Linked DNA regions of Arabidopsis thaliana. The protein of the gene in region 1 interacts with the protein of each later gene in a pairwise test. Each region holds a gene or a part of one and is shown on either strand. Other genes may lie near its edges.

The links.
Region 2: the proteins of AT5G54067 (region 1) and AGL79 interact in a two-hybrid assay, tested with the Arabidopsis thaliana proteins (one large-scale study listed by BioGRID).
Region 3: the proteins of AT5G54067 (region 1) and AGL102 interact in a two-hybrid assay, tested with the Arabidopsis thaliana proteins (one large-scale study listed by BioGRID).
Region 4: the proteins of AT5G54067 (region 1) and AT4G00610 interact in a two-hybrid assay, tested with the Arabidopsis thaliana proteins (one large-scale study listed by BioGRID).

Annotation. Positions count from the first base shown.
Region 1 is NC_003076.8:21,940,838-21,944,078, forward strand, and holds AT5G54067 (B3 domain protein), read right to left. Parts: upstream 1,310-3,241; coding exon 929-1,309; 3' UTR 765-928; downstream 1-764. Other genes in the region: HSFA9 (heat shock transcription factor A9), read left to right, coding at 3,181-3,241.
Region 2 is NC_003074.8:11,906,702-11,913,722, reverse strand, and holds AGL79 (AGAMOUS-like 79), read right to left. Parts: upstream 4,854-7,021; 5' UTR 4,605-4,853; coding exon 4,420-4,604; intron 2,711-4,419; coding exon 2,632-2,710; intron 2,525-2,631; coding exon 2,460-2,524; intron 2,360-2,459; coding exon 2,260-2,359; intron 2,083-2,259; coding exon 2,041-2,082; intron 1,475-2,040; coding exon 1,433-1,474; intron 1,234-1,432; coding exon 1,103-1,233; intron 949-1,102; coding exon 843-948; 3' UTR 557-842; downstream 1-556.
Region 3 is NC_003070.9:17,570,144-17,573,927, reverse strand, and holds AGL102 (AGAMOUS-like 102), read right to left. Parts: upstream 1,515-3,784; 5' UTR 1,478-1,514; coding exon 1,199-1,477; intron 1,045-1,198; coding exon 769-1,044; 3' UTR 555-768; downstream 1-554.
Region 4 is NC_003075.7:256,428-260,257, forward strand, and holds AT4G00610 (DNA-binding storekeeper protein-related transcriptional regulator), read right to left. Parts: upstream 1,517-3,830; coding exon 530-1,516; downstream 1-529. Other genes in the region: AT4G00600 (Amino acid dehydrogenase family protein), read right to left, coding at 1-183; EMB3127 (Amino acid dehydrogenase family protein), read right to left, coding at 2,838-3,008, 3,119-3,286, 3,389-3,625, 3,703-3,830.

The DNA.
Region 1 (3,241 bases):
TGGTCATGCACATATCTCCTATGACTCTGTTACTAAGAATTTGAGTGCGTCTTGGGCTTATGAATTAACCTCTGATCCTCAGGAGAGTTTAGGCATTTCCTATATCATTGATCTTGCAAAGGTTTTGCCACCACATGTTACGGTCGGGTTTTCAGCCGCTACTGGATCGGTCACAGAGGGACATAAGCTTTTATCATGGGAGTTCATCTCAAGTTTGGATATTGAGGTTTGTTTATAAGGATCTTGTTTTAGCTACCAACAGATTCTCAGCCCAGAGGAAGCTTGGTGAAGGAGGGTTTGGGGCAGTTTATAGATGGTACTTGAACGAAATAGATATGATGGTTGCTGTGAAGAAATTGTCTGGTGGTTCCAAGCAGTGAAAGAAAGAGTTTGTAACCGAAGTTAAGATCATTAGCAAACTGCGTCATCGAAACCTGGTGCAGCCCATTGTGTTGGTGTAATGAAAAAGATGAGTATTTGCTTATATAGGAGTTCATGCCGAATGGTAGCTTGGACACTCACCTCTTTGAGAAAAGACCCCTTATCTCACCTAGGACACACAGATCTTCACGGAGAGGGAGATCGGTGTGTGTTGCATAGGGACATCAAGGCAAGCAATATCATGTTGGACATCAATTTCAATGTAAAAGTAGGTGACTTTGGGCTGGCTCGATTGATGGACCATGAACTAGGCTCACATACAATAGCGCTAGCAGGAAATTACATAATTGTCAAAGACTTTTGTCTGTGTGTGGACATGTGTAGGGCAAGTGAACCACGTTTTATTGAAATTCAAATTCAAGATAATCCAATCAAGTTTGACAAAAGAGAAACAAAAAGATAGGGCAAAAAAAGCCAGCACTTAACTAGGATATGAAATCCAAAACATAAATAGTCAAAAACAGAAAAGAAGATAGGTGCAAGCGAGCTACACTGGAATCATTAATGGAAGTACTGAATACTGAAAATTCAAAACAACGAACTTGTTGTCCAAGTGACTCCAGTAGAGTTTCAGAACATCGCCTTCTGAGAGATCTAACGAATGCTTCATAGTACTCCAACCAGTACCGAAATAATATTTAGGTTTATCGATACCTGATACTTTGAGCGTAACTGTGTATAAGTCGTCTTCCATTATGTCGTCGACTTGCACTTCAACACCGTTTAGCAAATCTTGGTCGTTAACATTCATCCTCGTGAGGACAGACATCACTTCTGCTTTCGGTAATACCACATTACCAACGATATCACTCTTTGATAGCACTTTTGTTATGATCATAGCCGGTTCCAATGGATCGTTGTAATTCATCTTGCTTAATTTTTTTTATATTTCTTACGTTCTCTATTCAAACATATATATAGGAGATTTAGCCTAAGAAAAAAGGTAAAATACAAAAGAGAAAAAATCAGAACTCTTTTTGAAACAAATTAGAAAATTGTCTAAATATCTAGATTTCTCTTAATATGGAATTGGAAAGTAAACTTTTTGCAAAATATTAGATTTAGATAACTTTCACTTGGTAAATTGAGAATAAAGTTTTGTGCAAATTATTGATTTAGATCATTTCCATTTCTATTCTCAATCTCTTTTTGAGCGTTCCAACCAATTACATTGCTGCCCCGAACCAATATAATATTTACAATAGTATCATAGCCGGCTCCAATGGATCGTTGTAATCCATTATGGACCGCCCAACTTCAGCCCACAAAAGAAATTGTCCACACGAAAACGCTCAATAATCTATAAACGGACCATTTGACATATTTAAGTGTTTTGCAAGCCCAAAGTAATCATATTCACTCAACAAAAAGTATAAAAAATCTGAAATTTAATTTAGGTCGTTGCTAAGCTTGTTGTAGGGTACGTACGTTTGGGAGCATTTTAATTAGAATAAGATTAGAAATTTAGAATAGTTTTAATCCTCCGAAACTTTTTGTAGTACGGACTTTTGGGAGCATTTTTATGAGTCGTGCCAATCTTGCAAAAGGACCCATGCAGAGCAACAAATTTGGTTGTGGCATGTCGGTTAGGTAGCCCAAAAGCTTCATTTTATATTAGTTATAAACTTTGCTGTTATATAGTTAGTAAAGTTTAGTCAGTAAAGTAGACTGTTACTTCTTTTAGTACTTTGAATACATCTTATTTACTACAATGTTAACAGTCAACATGGTATAAATTCTATTCCATGTTTTGTTTCAAAGGTTGACATAACGGACGAATTTTAAAATGTAACTATTGTAATAAACAGTAATGAGTATTAACTTGAGTTACTCTATACAATTGTTTGTTTCTTGTGATAACCAAAGCCATCACAATCAAACATTTCACTCTTAAAACAAGGAAACAGTAAGTGCAATGGAAGGTAGGATCCAAGTGCTTCTCTCGCAACGATTGTTTGGTTGATTCTCGTAAAAATGTGAGTATATGAAAGAGGAAGTTAGACCGATGCAATGGTTGCAATGTGAGCATAGTCGAATTTCACCTGCCATGGTGTTTCTTCCTTTTTCATCTTCCCACCGGATTCACTCAAGGCTCGTCGTTTAATCCATTATCGCCTATGTAACCGTCGCTTCTTCACCTGCGGCCACAACCAATGCAACCGCTATAACAAGTTTGTTTTTGATCTCTTTATCGACCATTAAGTCTCTTTATATATTCCTTAAAACTCTATATTGCATTTTGATTTTCTAGTGCGTATAACATTGACGTTACAGTAAAAATTTCTAGTTTTAATATTCACAAGCATGGCTGCTATTTCAATTCAATATAAGTTTTATCATCGTCTACAATAATATATGAATTTTATCATCATATAGAAGAATAACAGAGCTCTGATCACAGACTCACAGCCCTGTAACTCTAGCTAACAAAATTATCTTTTAACTCTCTTCTTTATTAAAAAAAAAGCACTTGCATAGTAGCATTTTAACTGATGTATATGCTTTCCCTAAGCGACACTTGTCCTCATGCATGAAATCAAATTCAATGGACGACCGATTCATCTTGACCGACCACAAAGATCCAACGGCTAGCTGGAGATATACAGGTGTTAATAAATTGTTATATTCCAAAAAAATGGGTTATAATGTGGCAGCTTTTTGATAGTAACACTGATGTATTTCTTACAATAAACGACCAAAAAGTTAATACAAGAAATAGAAACGGTGTAGGAAGCTACTATGACGGCAATTCCAAACGTCGTCGATATTGAATCTTCTTCCTCTTCGCTTTGTCAAGAGA
Region 2 (7,021 bases), on another chromosome or scaffold:
AATATTTGCTACATGGCCAAAAGAAAAGTTTTTATATATAAAAGAAAAATAAATTAGACAAATGGAAAAACACAAAATGAAATATATCGAAGTTTGATTTATTCAAGACAAACTATAATATATCGATAAATAAAAGATAACAATGGACAAATGGCAACATAAAGGTCTAAATTAAACCAAGACATCGTCTTATGTATATGAAATACTTTAATCTATAGTTTTTAAGTCACACTTTTTCATATGACAAATGTTTCTATCTCCCGGAAAAAATGAAATTCAATGCAGAGAATCAATATTTCTTTCTCCGGCGATGCTAAGGCGTGGAGGAATCGCGTGGCGAGGCAGAGTCGTAAATTGGTTCACACGGCTTAGTGTGAGGACGACTCTTGAATGGCATATTTAATAGTCAAGACTATTTGAAAAAAATATCGTAATTACTTTTAGAAAATTACCAAACATTGTCAAGTATTTTGTTTTAGCAAAATCTGTTTACAAAACGCTTCTAAAATAGATTAAACGTTTTCTCCTACCTTCTATAGAAATTAATATGTCATAAAAAATATAGTTTATAGTTCTTTTCTTCTTTTTCATTACACTGAAATTACATTTTTCACAAACAGTAAAGTGAAAATCGTAGATACAATATACAAAATCACATTAGACATACAATGTTTCTAAATTCGTTCAAAGTTTGAAACTTGAGGGCCTCTTAAGCCTGTTCCTAGAATGCCAAGCCAGAAGATATTTTCTTTTATTCGGATTGGTTCTACTTAACTCAAGAAGTTATTCCGGTACTATATATTAAGTACAGAAAATTAAAAAACCAAGATTGTTTCGGACCTCTATTCTCCGGTGAGCTGGGGCATCCAATGAGGCAACGTTGCATTCGTCCTTCGAATTAGGGTTCCGGCAGCTACTTCTCCAACTCCATCCCTTTGTGATGTATCCCTATAAGCAGTTTATTAATTCATCTCATATACACGATAAATAAATATTGATACAAACTATAATATGTTACCTTACTATCATTGATCAACACTAACAAATTATCATTTATATTTTTACTATCTTTGTAGCTATGTGAAATCAAACTTTAAAGTACCCCGAAGATAAAGGAGGAGGAGGAGGAGATATTGTCCGGCGAAGCTCATGGGGTGATTCAAATGGCGGTGTTGCCAAGGAGGCTAAGTCATGGCTGAGGTTTTGCGTTTGAAAGTCTTCCCTTTCACCAGCCTGCCAAATTCAATACTTGTTATAGTTACTATTTACCAGTCACCGATTGCTTAACATTCAAATATAAATTTAAAATCGACACTTGATTGAGAGAGTTCAAACTAGCGCCTAGACTAATCTCTCTTAAAAGTTAAGTGAATTCTACATTTTATAAGAAACTGGTTATATATATAGTCAAAGATTCTAACATCACTTTCACCTTCTTTGTTAGCTGTTTCTTCAGTTCTTTTAGTTCCTTCTCCTATGCCATCAAAAGAAAAGACACATATTTATTAGTTTAACTCATATCGAGTCAAGTATTCAAGATCTAGTATATGTATTTGTGTTTATTTCTCAAAATCAAAGACTACTAATTGTGAAGATCTACTATAAGTATAATGTTTTGTACAAACCCGAAAAGAAAAAAAAGACAGGCAGATACATGAGTTTGCATGGCAAAAGTAGTCCTAGGCAAAATAACCAAACTCTAACCAAACCGAGAGGAACTTAATAGAAAAACGAACCAAAATTCGTAAATATCCGAATGGATTATAACTTCATAACTGAAAGAACGGGAACCAGACTGAAATATTCAGCGAATCGAAATACATTTTATACACCTAAAATAATTAGTTATTTTTAGACCGAATAACCAAAAATACTCGAAATACCAAAAGTTAGGTGGAAACAATATCCAAAACAATTACTTGAATGGATCCTAAACTCAAAAACCAAAAAATAGAACCAAACTAAAACCGGACCCGTAAACTCAAACGTCCAGGCCTAGGCACAACCATAACAACGATAGTCTCTTAATTAGTGTATTACCTTTTTCTGAAGCTGTGCTATGGACTCTACCATGAGCTGGTTCTGTGCTCCCAAACCAAAACAATAATTACTACATGATTAGGTGTAGTTTATCTATATATCTGTGTATATTTATGCATACACAAACTGCACATTATTAGATATACACATTTGTATATACAAATGATCCATGCATGTATAGAAAATATACTACAATGTTTTTGTATACATATAAATAACCTTTCTAGAGCGAGTTTTCTTGAGGGCAGTATCAAGTTGCATCTCCACACCTTGAAGGTCTCTGATACTTAGACCATCCACCTCTTCTCCTCTTAAGTGCCTTATAATTTGATAAAGATGCAATTTCTTATCTTGTACATATTTAGATATCTTAGGTATGTATTTTATGTTTGGATGATACGTAAGTAATAAGTCCTTACCTCAGGCTTCTTTGCAGGACATCAATCATCCTCAAGAGCTTTGAACATTCTGTTGAGCACTCTCCCTACAAATGATAAAAAGATCGATACACGATAGTTAAGTTTACCATAAACATACCATAAACAATGATTCATATATATATACTCATATGTCTTAAATGTGCTTAAGAACCTGTGAATCCAAATTTGGTGTAGGAATATCTTGACCGGCGTAGGCAGACCTCTCATATCGATCAAGAATTCTCTCCATGCTAAAAAAATAGTATATCAAACAACAATCAACACTCGATGTATATACTATCATCACTCAACAAATACATTGAAGATATTGAATAATCATTTTTGTACTTTAGTTGAAACATTTCTAAATTAATTTAAGCTCTATATCGAGAACTTTAATCTACATTTGCAAACAATTTGATACATTAATTGAATGTATTGATTAGACTATAGCAATCGATACACCAAGTCTACTCAAATTTTGTTAAAATATGTTTGCAAGCAAATTCATTTTTGAACATTCTAGTTAAGCCTACAAGCTAGAAAAGTAGCTTCATGGGTTTGTATATTTTCATGTGACGATCGAGGTTAGTCCTAGGTTCCGCCAACCAAAAGACAAAGCAATGCACAAAGCTCTATACAAAGGCTTGTCATGCTTCCAATTTCCAACAAGATTTTAGCTGTATATCTTAAATTTTTATTTTAACATAATCAAATCAAAGTTTCATGTTTACTATTATTAGTTACTACAATCATGATCGAAAGCTGACTCTTCTATTTATAGTAGATTTCTTGTCCCTCTTTAGTATGTTTGTGTATATTGAGATAATTGTTTTTCTTTTGGTGTGTCGTTCATTTTGATCCAATGATACCGCATTAGATATTACATGAACCTTGGAGATAATTTAGACGGTGTCATCACAAATTATGTCTCCTAGTATTTTACTGTTCTGTTTTGACAATTACTAAAAAAAAAAAAATCGTCATCTTAAAATTGGATTTATTTTTCAAAAATTAAATTGCTATTATTTACAGTTCATTTCTTTTATATTAAATTCTCTGATAAATAATGTTTTGTTATTACCAGAATATGTTCAGTTAGTTAAAACCACCAAAATTATTTTGTATTATAGTCAACATTTTATTTTTATTTTAGTCAACATTCAATTTTATTTTTAAGTAAAATGTAAATAGCAGATTTATTCCAAAAGAAGAACATTAAAATTATTTTGATTCAAGAACCCTTTTTAAAATTCGTTTTCCTTGAATTTATTATATTTTTCCTTGAAATAAATAAAATGAAGTCTCCTATGAGTGCCAAAGTAAGCTAACTTTGAGCATTAGATCTACTTGTTTGATCCTAAGCCTGCAGGTGTTAATTCTAAAGTTTTTTTGTACACTTTGTATTAAATATCTCTTTAAACTTATGTAGATCATGTTTTAATTATCTCCAGAACGTTGAAGAACAAACTTACACAACAATGAAATGAAAGATCTCTCTTTATTCATGATATGTTCAACATATATACATATGTCCTCAAGAATCAAATTATATTAATACGTATATTATTTCGTAATCATGTTTGCCCAATTAGCACATTCTTCCATCATATTTTTTGGATAATATATAATCTGTGGAACTGTTATGTCTCACAATTATTTTTTGATGCGATCATCTCTATTAATCACTTCTTTTGATTTAATATATAGTATTGTACAATCATTCATTTTTTATGATCTTCTCTAAGTTAGAGATGGAAGAACTAAACAAAATTGGCTATAAACTGATTTAATTAATTAAACAATCTCAGCCAATTTCAAATCAATCTCCTCTATGTGAAACCTATATATACCACTTTTCCCAATATGTCAAACATGAAATATAGGCTAATATTTATGTAGATAAATATGCGATCTTAAAATAAGTTGGTAAATTAATTAGCTTAGGAAAGATTCAAACCTGGAACCAGCAGAGTACTCAAAGAGTTTGCCTTTGGGGGAGAAAACAATCAAAGCAACTTCAGCATCACATAACACTGAGATCTCTTGAGCTTTCTTTACCAAACCGGTCCTTCGCTTTGAAAATGTCACTTGTCTCCTTATCTTATTCTCGATCCGCCGTAGCTGAACCCTTCCTCTTCCCATATCTACAAAAATTCTTCTCAGGTTTCTTGGAAACAAAAGAGAGAGCTAAAAGAAGAACTTGGAAATTTGACCACCTAAAGAAGAAAGAAGAAGTAGTAGAAGAAACCCTAGATTCTCTTAAAAAGAAGAAAAGTGGAGTTTGATGAGAAATTACGCGAAGATTTGATTTAATTTTCTATTTTTGTGAACTTATTCATATACATATATTTATACACACAAAAGGCATATGGAGGGAAAAAGAGAAAGTATCAAATGATACATTTAGGGAAAGGGAGAGCAGAAAACAAGTATTTATGTCTTTGTGTCCGAAATAGTCTTGACGATCAATTATTATTATTGGTGAATGAAGTTAATAATTAACCCAAGTTGCTGGTTTGGCTCCTGCGATTTCAATATAGAACCTGTAATTACCAAGATCAAAGTTCTATTAACAAATGCTGCTGTGATACGATTGGTTCTTTTGACCATATATGATATAAAATATAAGAATGGATAAGAAGATACATATAGTAAAATAATAATAAAGAGCTTGACCTATTACAATGTAAACCACCACAAAGAGCTTGACCTATTACAATGTTATTTTTGTACTTTCATAACAAATATGTACTTACTAAATAGATTGAAAATAAAAATATATTGTATATATATATATATATATATATATATATATATATATATATATATATATATATATATATATATATTCATCATCGATTACGAAAACTTCACCAGAGATTTTACCATGTTGCATCTTATGATCATGGTTTATGTGTACGGTTAAATTTTACATTGTGGATGTGGTTCAGGTGGAGCTGTCTTGTAGATCAATGGACTACCAACTTGGAGAGTTGTTTTAAATGAGATTTTAATACTTTTTAAAGTGTTTCTATAAAATAATTAGTGCTTGCTTTTTATTATTATTATATATATTACTATTAGTATTATATATTATTATTATATTTATATTCTGTTACAAGCGAACCATAGTTAACAATTTTCAACATACTGATCCACAATTGACAGTTTTACCTGAACTATATCTACAATGGCTGAGTTTAGTCATTGGTCTTAATACATATACGGAGATACATGAATGTGATATATCATTCTTGAAATGTCTAACAGAAGCACCGATGAAGTTGGTCCCTATTCTTAACGTATGGTTATTGCAATAAGTATATGTATGGTTATATGAGGGATTATGTACTAACAAAAATCGACAGAACTTTAAGTGCATTCTACGTTTCTCTTCCATCCTAAAATTTGAACCTCAAAATTGATACAATAATTTAAACCAGAATTTTGATCCACCACTATAGATTTTTATAATAAATATATTTTCTCTTTTTGAAAATTACACTTAATATTTTCTTAGCTCAATATATAATTTTTTAAAAAAAAATCATTATATAAAGAACAGTCAACTTGGTTGACTTTGGAAATAAACAATAAAAGACAATTTCCGTGGTCATTTTTCGTATATGTTTTTTGTGGTATGATTTTGGCAGAAAATAGAAATATAGATGAAGATGAGTTTAGGATTTTGAAAATGAGGACACCTTGTTTAGAATGTAGGTTAAATAGAATTGAAGAAGGGTTTAAACATTAAATATCACGGAATAGATTGGTTAATGGTAAACTGAGAAAAAAATAGGTATTTTAAAATTGAGGAAACCAAATATGTTATAGTAGAGATTTCATAATAATTATCTTTTTAACATTTTCACATCGACAAGGTCCAATGCATAGTCAATCTTTACTCTGCAGGATAACGCGACTTAGTAGAGTCTAACTCCAGTGGAGAAGGTGGAGTAAAATGGACTTAACAACGTAGTGAAATTTCTTAATAATTCTTGAACAGGACATTAAGTAGATATTGTTTTCTTATTTATTTTATATGCATTTCAAGTATATACAAATTTCATTAAAAATCTCTAGAAGAATGAGAGAAATAAGTCTAAAAAGTTTGTGTAGCTTGGATAACCACTTTTTTCTATTGAACAAATTATATCTTACGTTAGTGTTAGTTTAAGAATATCTTCCACTCTCCAAGTGATATTCTTTAAAACAGATTAAAAAACTTTCAACTTCTTCAAACTATAACAATCATATATATCTCAAATTGAACCTTAATTCATAAAAGAAAACAAAATCCCAATTTCATATTAGTTTCTTAAAACTTGACCGTCCATTGCATCATATGAGGTTTTGCAGAGCCAAAAATTAGCATCCATAAGTTAGAAAACCAGCCAATGTCATTTGATATCTTGAGTTTCTGATTTGAACTTCATAATTTATGAAGACCTAATTTTATGAATATGATTCGAGATTGGTACCGATGGATTTGCATCTTCATGAGAATTCAAAATGAGCTAGGGGTCTACCTCTAACTCTAGCAACAAAACAAAAAGAAC
Region 3 (3,784 bases), on another chromosome or scaffold:
CTTTCTCTAGATTTACTCATCATTTTCGGAGGATACGTCATCAATCGACTTCCCTCTTGGAAAGAACTTTTAAAATTGGGAAGACTGTGAAAAAGGGGATCGAAACCCTAAATTTTTATTAATTTGGGCATTTTGTTATAACCTATAGAAATATGTATGTTTCTGAGAACATATAAATAACTGCGAGCTAAGTCGGTAAAGGAAAGTTGTTATATCTCACAGGTTGCGGGTTCAATTCCTCAACTTGTAAAAAAAAAAAGAAATTGAAACGACGTTGTTTTATAAGTTAACAGAATTTATAACCGAAGACTTAATTCTGTTAATTTCCCGTAATTTTGGCTCGTTTAAGTCTTAAATAATATCTTATGACAAAAAAAAGACTTAATTCTGTTATTTTTTTCGTCAGTTGACGTAACGTTTTACCCGAAATGGCAAAATCAACGAAAGTTATCTATTTAATTCTAAAGTCAACAATAACTTTGGTATTTAAGTGACATTTCGAAAATTCATGTTTTTTTGTTCTAAATTTGAAAGTTCACATTTTTTTGACATATTTTCCAAAATTATCACATATATTGTATATTATTTATATATAAAAAACATTTCATTACGAAAATCCGATTGAAAAGATAACAAGATGGAGGACACAACTTCCTTCAAACTAAAGCAACCAAAATTTATTCCTTAAACTTTTGGAAAGAAAAATAAACGGTAATTGATTTATATGATATAAATAATTATATATTTATATTTATTTTGACGATTGTTCTAAATAGTTCCAAGAAATCCTGGGCCGAAAGCCCGAAACTCATACATTCCTTTGCTCTGTCCAGACGAATACTCGGTCCTCATCATCTTATTCTTTGTATTCTTTGAGAGTATCGATGGAGAAGACAAATCCTCCATCTCTACATGTTTCCTCTTTAAACCTGCTTGATAGGCCTCGAGTTTCGCCTTGAAAGCAACTAAGTCCTCCAATTTCAGATCTACATTCTCTTTCATATTGGACTTTTCAAGGTTTCTTTGCTGTTTCTTCCTCAAATCCTAAAATTGACAAAAAAAATATTATATAATATAAAATAAATAATGATTATTTAATTCTGTGTATAATAGCAAACCCATCTTTGTAATCTATATGTTGAGAACGAAGAAGAAGGAAAACTAACGGATGAGATTATATTAATGATGGGAAACATACCTCCTGAAACTCTTTGATTTGTTCCAATTCTTTCATGAGACTCCTGAGTTTGGACGAAGCACTAGGATTTTGAATACGCTCAACCACATCGTTGAAGCATGGATAACCGTATGTGTATGGTATATTAGTGGGGGAGATGACCAAGACAGCAATCTCTACATTACACAACTTCGCGAGTTCATCAGCCTTCTTAAAAATGCCATTTCGGCGTCTTGAAAACGTCGCTTTCCTTTCGATGCTATCTTCAATAAATTTTATCTCTATTTTTCTACGACCCATTTCTTAGTTTTAGAGAGATGTTTTTGTTGTTGGTGTTGTTTTTGTTACTACTCTACTCCATTTTATAGATGGATTGGTTCAAGTAGGTTTAACGCATTAATTATAATTTTTTATCTTTGTTATCCTTTTTTTATTAAAATATTTGAATTTACCTTTTAAATATATTTATCTTTTAACTACTACCATAAATATCTTTATAACTCTGACTACACAAATTTATCATAATAGTCAAGAGTTGGTATTCCAAACAAATTCTTAAGATATATTTTCTGAAGAAAGTATAAATTTTGTAATGCTTATCTTTCATTAGAAAATATTTAGGAAAAATACAAATTTTGTAATAATTATAAATTAGATTTAGTATCTCTACATATCATTCCATATATACAAATTTTATTTTAAAATGCAAACTCACACGCGTCAAACATGCGCACTAGCCACGACATATCAATAAAATGAAAATAAAAAACTGATGAAACTTGGTAACAACTTTTTCTAAATTAAAAGGAGTTTTTTATTTTATTATTTCATGTTTTGTTTTCACTCACACGGATCCGACAATAATCACTTCTCCTAAATTCACCCATCAAAAGACATAGGTGTCAAAATCAATTCTTTTAAACATTTCTACATGCATCACCATATTTCATGAAACTAAAGTGTTACAATTCATCCCTCTAGCAGATCGTATCGTCCTGGTTGCGCATCAAGACCGTCACAATCGACTTTGTTAACCCTCTTAACTCCACATTCGTCTGGGTTTGGCTCTGATACCGTTTGTAACTCCCCGACCTCCATCTTTCTTAGTGACCCCACGTCCTCTCTCGGCTCACGGGCTCACTCTTACCCGATAGCCGATCCATTACGTTTACGAGGCTTTAAAGGCTTGTTTACCGATCCTACATATCACCACATTATATTTTCTCGTGTTTTATCCTCGCTCATATACAGTTGCGACAATCACTTCTTGGAAGGTCATTCCCTGTAATTTTTCTAACTTAAGCACGCTTAATTATGAAGTTCTTTTCAGATGTTTGACTGAAAATAAGTGCAATTTGATGATATAGGTGGTCAAATCAAATTTTTAAAACTTCTCTGCATGCACCACCATATTTTGTGAAACCAGGGTGTTACAAAAGGTCAAATAAATTGATGTGGATATCGAATTAGAAGATTCCTCATGTGATGCACAAGATGTGTTGGATGGACCCACATCCAACTAGAAGATTCCTCACCCGATACACCAGAGGTGTTGGATGGATCTGTGATTCGACCATGCAATCGAAAACCCTAAAACAAGTTCAGTGCAAATCTAGAGACCCTATTTAACTCCATGGAATTTTAGCTGGAGCACCAACTTTCCGTACTGAGCTGTTTTTCAGCCGAAGACCCATGAAAAATATCTACATTAATCAACTCGACAACGAAACGTTAGAGGATATATTCAAAAATACTTTACCGGCAACATCAGTTAGCAATCTACGACAAATGACATGGCGATCCGAGACCAATGGACTAAGGCTTCAAAAATCATCGAAAATTCATGCATTGTAAAGGGAATAGTCTAACCGAAATCATGCATTATCAAACTCGTTTTGGAGATGAACAACATGAGCATTATGACAACCTTACATGTAGCCGATAACATGTCTTTTATTGAGTTAAAGTGCGTTTCAAGATTTTCTTTAATCCTTTACAGGTTTTAGATTGATATGGAGGAAAAAACATTTTGGGATGCAAACACGCATTTGGAGATGTGAGATCATGTATAAGGGTTTGGAGTTTCGCGTCATGTGGAAGATTTTCCACCGTTATATCTTCCTCATATTGTGATACAAGCTAGGTGATGATCTTTGCTTTTATTTCCAAGTGATTTGAAGAAAATCTAACAGTGAAATAAGACGTTATGGCCAATCTACTTAAGACATGTCAATCAGATGAAACTGGTGTGGAAACTGATCCAGACAATCAGAGACCGATAGGTCTATATATACTTGGGACCGATCAGTCCACCTTCATTTTTGAGTCGACCCTAGTAGGTCAAAGGAAGATATAATAATAAGGTCCCTATGCAGCCAATGTATTGACCTTTTTCGTATCTAGATCAATAAAGTCCAACTTTCTTCTCAAGCTGTTTGCGAAAAATAGATCAAACCAATTTTATACATTTTCCACGGCCGCATTAATTAAACCGGACAATTCGGGAATGGCACGCAAACCAATTAATCAAACTCGATTCCGGTTATCTTCAATTCTCCTTCTTCTTCATCTTCGCGTCCGTGAAGAACAACAATTGAAAAAGCTCCA
Region 4 (3,830 bases), on another chromosome or scaffold:
CTTTCCATCAATTACAATCGCAGATGGAGAAGAAGAGGAGCGAATGGAGAGAGTGCAGCGCCAAGTAGACGCAGTTGTCCGTAAGCTGAATTGGCTGACGCTCGGGCGGGGGAGGAAAACACCATTGCGGTTGTATAAATGGATGAGACGCGACGTTGTGGAGGAGGAGCAATCAGTAAACATCATCGACGCCATTTGTTTACTAGGCAAACAGAAGAAAACAAAGTAGATTGTTTCTAAGTTAACGTGTGTGTAAAGGTAGATATAGAAGATATGTACTTATCTTAAATCCATTAGGAATTATCTCCTAGAATCATTATTAGTTTATATCATATCATAATTATCTAACGATTTCATGTCTGTAGTAACAAAGGAAGAAGACTAAGATGCAAACAAAAAACCACCTATTTTTGTTATCCAAAAAAACATCTTTAACATAAAACATATGAATAAACGAGAAAGCCATAAAGGTTCCAACACAAAACCAAAAAGAAAAACATAGGCAAATGCATCTCTAAACAGATAAAGACTAAACATATTTAGCCATCAAAGATCTCATCTCATGCACAACGTCAATCTTCTGCCACGTCGTTTTGAGCTCATCAGCTTGCATGGACTTCACCTTTTCTTCTATCCTCTTCCTCTTCTTCACCGGTACCAAACTCCAATTCTTCTTCCATGTCTCTTCATCAACCCCCGGACCCAATTCTTTAAACGCACCATCAACAAACGACCTCTCGAACCAATCACTTTCTTCATCAACCTTAAGCTTCTTCTTCTTTGGCTTCACAAGAGCAGTAGCATCACCATCACTTACCCAAATTATCTCAGCCAATTCGTAACACTTCTTATCATGCTCTGTAGTAGTTTTCTTGTTCTCAATATACTTTCTCTTCATAGACCGGATTTTGTTAACGAACTGATCAGTCTTCACCTCAAAGCTAATCGAATCTTTAAGTTTTTCGAAAAAGCCATTCATGTCCTCGGAAACATTCTTACCTGTATCCTTAGCAAATTTGATCATTCCTTGAAGAAAGACGATCTCGTCTTCATCAGTCCACAATCTCTGAAACAACAGTGGCTTCTTCCCCGTCTCTGTTTCAGTCTTGGCTCGTTCCTCCTCTGGTTTTCCTTCACTTTGTCTCTTCTCATTCGAAGAAGAAGGAGCAGCAGCAGCAAGAGTCATCGGCTCAGCTTCAGTGTCAGACTCACTCTCCGATCCCGACTCTGAATCGCTGGAAGGCTCATCTTCCTCCTCCTCCTCAGATGAAGTTGATGCGACGGCTTCCAACGGCTTCTTGACCGGAGATGTGACACCCGACGGTTTCTTCGCTGGAGATGCGACTCCCGACAGTTTCTTTGACGTAGATGCGACGTCAGATGACTTCTTCACCGTTGATGGAGTAACCAAAGTCTTGTTCTTGGCCATCGGAGAGAAACGAGAGAGAAATTTGGTAGGGTTTTTAAATAAAAAATTGAGAAGTTGGTCAGTTTTAAGGTTTTGCACCGAAACCATATATTGCATTTGGTTCTTTCCTTAATTACAAGTATCATAAATCTTTGACCAATTTTACGGGGTTTATGGTGTACATCTAAAATTCAAAAAGTAAATGTTAATAAATCTAATTTTGGTAACTGAATTTCCGATTGGTATTTTTAGTATATTAAAAAAATTAAAACTAAATGCTAACTAATCGAGTAATCTTTCTTTAATTGTTTAATGAGATCAATGATTCAGTTAATCAGTAATTACTAATCGAGTAATATCTTTTTTATTTAATTACAATTATCATAAATCACATTAATTGTTTTGACTAATTTTACGGGGTTTATGGTGTACATTTAAAATTCAAAAAAACTAAATGCTACTAAATCCGATTTTGGTAACTGAATACCTTCTTTTAATTTTACGGGGTTTATGGTGTATAATACTATAATCCCTCTTTTGTAAAAAAGAAGAAAGAAATTTAAACTCTATAGAGTTTGTTTTTGGAGCAAAGATGCTAGAGTTTAAATTTCTTTATATTCTTCAGAGAACTCTCTGTCCCCAAAAAGGATTACTGCTAAACCAGGACTGATTAGTTTCTCCATTCTTGAAGTTTCGACTCTGATCTCCTGCATGATACTTAGTTCCACAGCCGTTTGATCAAATACCATCGCCTCATCAGCTGAACAGAAAAGTAAAATCTTAAGAGTTGGATATCTGAAAATACGTAAGCAATTGGATGAAAAGGTTTAGTCTATACAAGAGGAGCGAATGGAGAGAATGTGGCCACGTCCGGGCACAGTGGTATAAGAGGAGCGCATGCGGCCACGTCCGGGCGCAGTGGTGGGAAAGCTTGAGTTGGCTGACGCACCAGCGGGGCAGGAAAGCACCGTTGAGGCGGTTCAAATCGATGAGACGCGAGGTCGTGGAGAAGGAGCAATCGGTTAACATCAACGACGCCATTATTTTACTAGGAAAACAGAACAGTGGTCGTGGCTTCGAGCTCAAGTTAGGGTTTAACAAAAGTAATGTAGAACAAGTGACTGTGTTTTCTTGTTTCAAATTAACCTTCGTTGAAAGGTAGTTATAAATAAAGTATAATGACGAAGAGACCGATGGGTGAGGCTGGGATATATCATAGCTGGGATAAGTTAAAACTAGTTCTGACTCAAAATACCAAGAAGAGACAAACAATGTTGAAGACAATTTATGTGACTTAAAAACTACATGTTTTGTTTCATAGAACAAAACGATAACTTTCTTTAAAGACCAAAGTAAATCATTGGCTTCAAAAAACAGAGTACGATTTGTTTGTTTCCCAAAAGGCCAGCAATCTTCTTTTTAAGTGACGTCACTGGAAGTTGTGAATCCTCTTAGCTGATGTTAAAGTGTTGGATAGAAGCATGGCTATGGTCATTGGTCCTACACCGCCAGGAACAGGTGTGATGGCTGATGCAACTTTGCTAGCCTCCTCGTAGCAAATGTCTCCAACCAATCGATATCCACGCGCAGCACTTGGATCCTGCAATTCATATTATGTACATGTATGAATGTTGCATACTGGTTGATTTGAAACTTATTATATCACTGAATTACGCCATGACCATATGTCAAAAAGAAAATTCCACTCACCTCAACAGGATTAATCCCAACATCGATGAGGACTGCGCCCGGTTTTATCCAGCTTCCTCTGACCATGTTTGGCTGTCCAACAGCTGAGATTATAATATCAGCTTCTCTTGTGATTTCTTCAGGGTTCTTGGTTCTTGAATGGATAATGCTAACGGTTGCATCCTCCCTCTACAAATACAAAACACAACAATAAAGACCAAACATGTAACTAACTTTCGAATGTCACAACCAGAAAAAACGGCATCTTAAAGAAGGTATCATCATCATTACCTGCAGTAAAAGAGCAGCTGGCATACCGACAATGTTACTCCTTCCGATAACAACCGCTCTCTTTCCTTTGATTTCAATGTTGTATCTATGCAACAACTCAATGCATCCTTTTGGAGTACAAGGAACGAATAAGGGTTCTCTTCCACGCATGGCAAGCCGTCCAATATTTAGCGGATGAAATCCGTCAACATCTTTCTCTATACTAACCGCATTCAGTATGTTCTGTTCATCCATATGCTGCAACAACATCCCAAAACACTATTGTAATTCACTGTTTATTTAAGTTCCGAAGAAAGTTATTAGACTTTGTTTACCGATGGCAGAGGCAACTGAACAAGGATTCCATGGACAGAAGGATCATCATTGAATCCTGATACAGATTTCAACACCTCTTCTTCTGATGAATCTTCAGCTAGACGAACTTCGAACGATTTGATTCCAA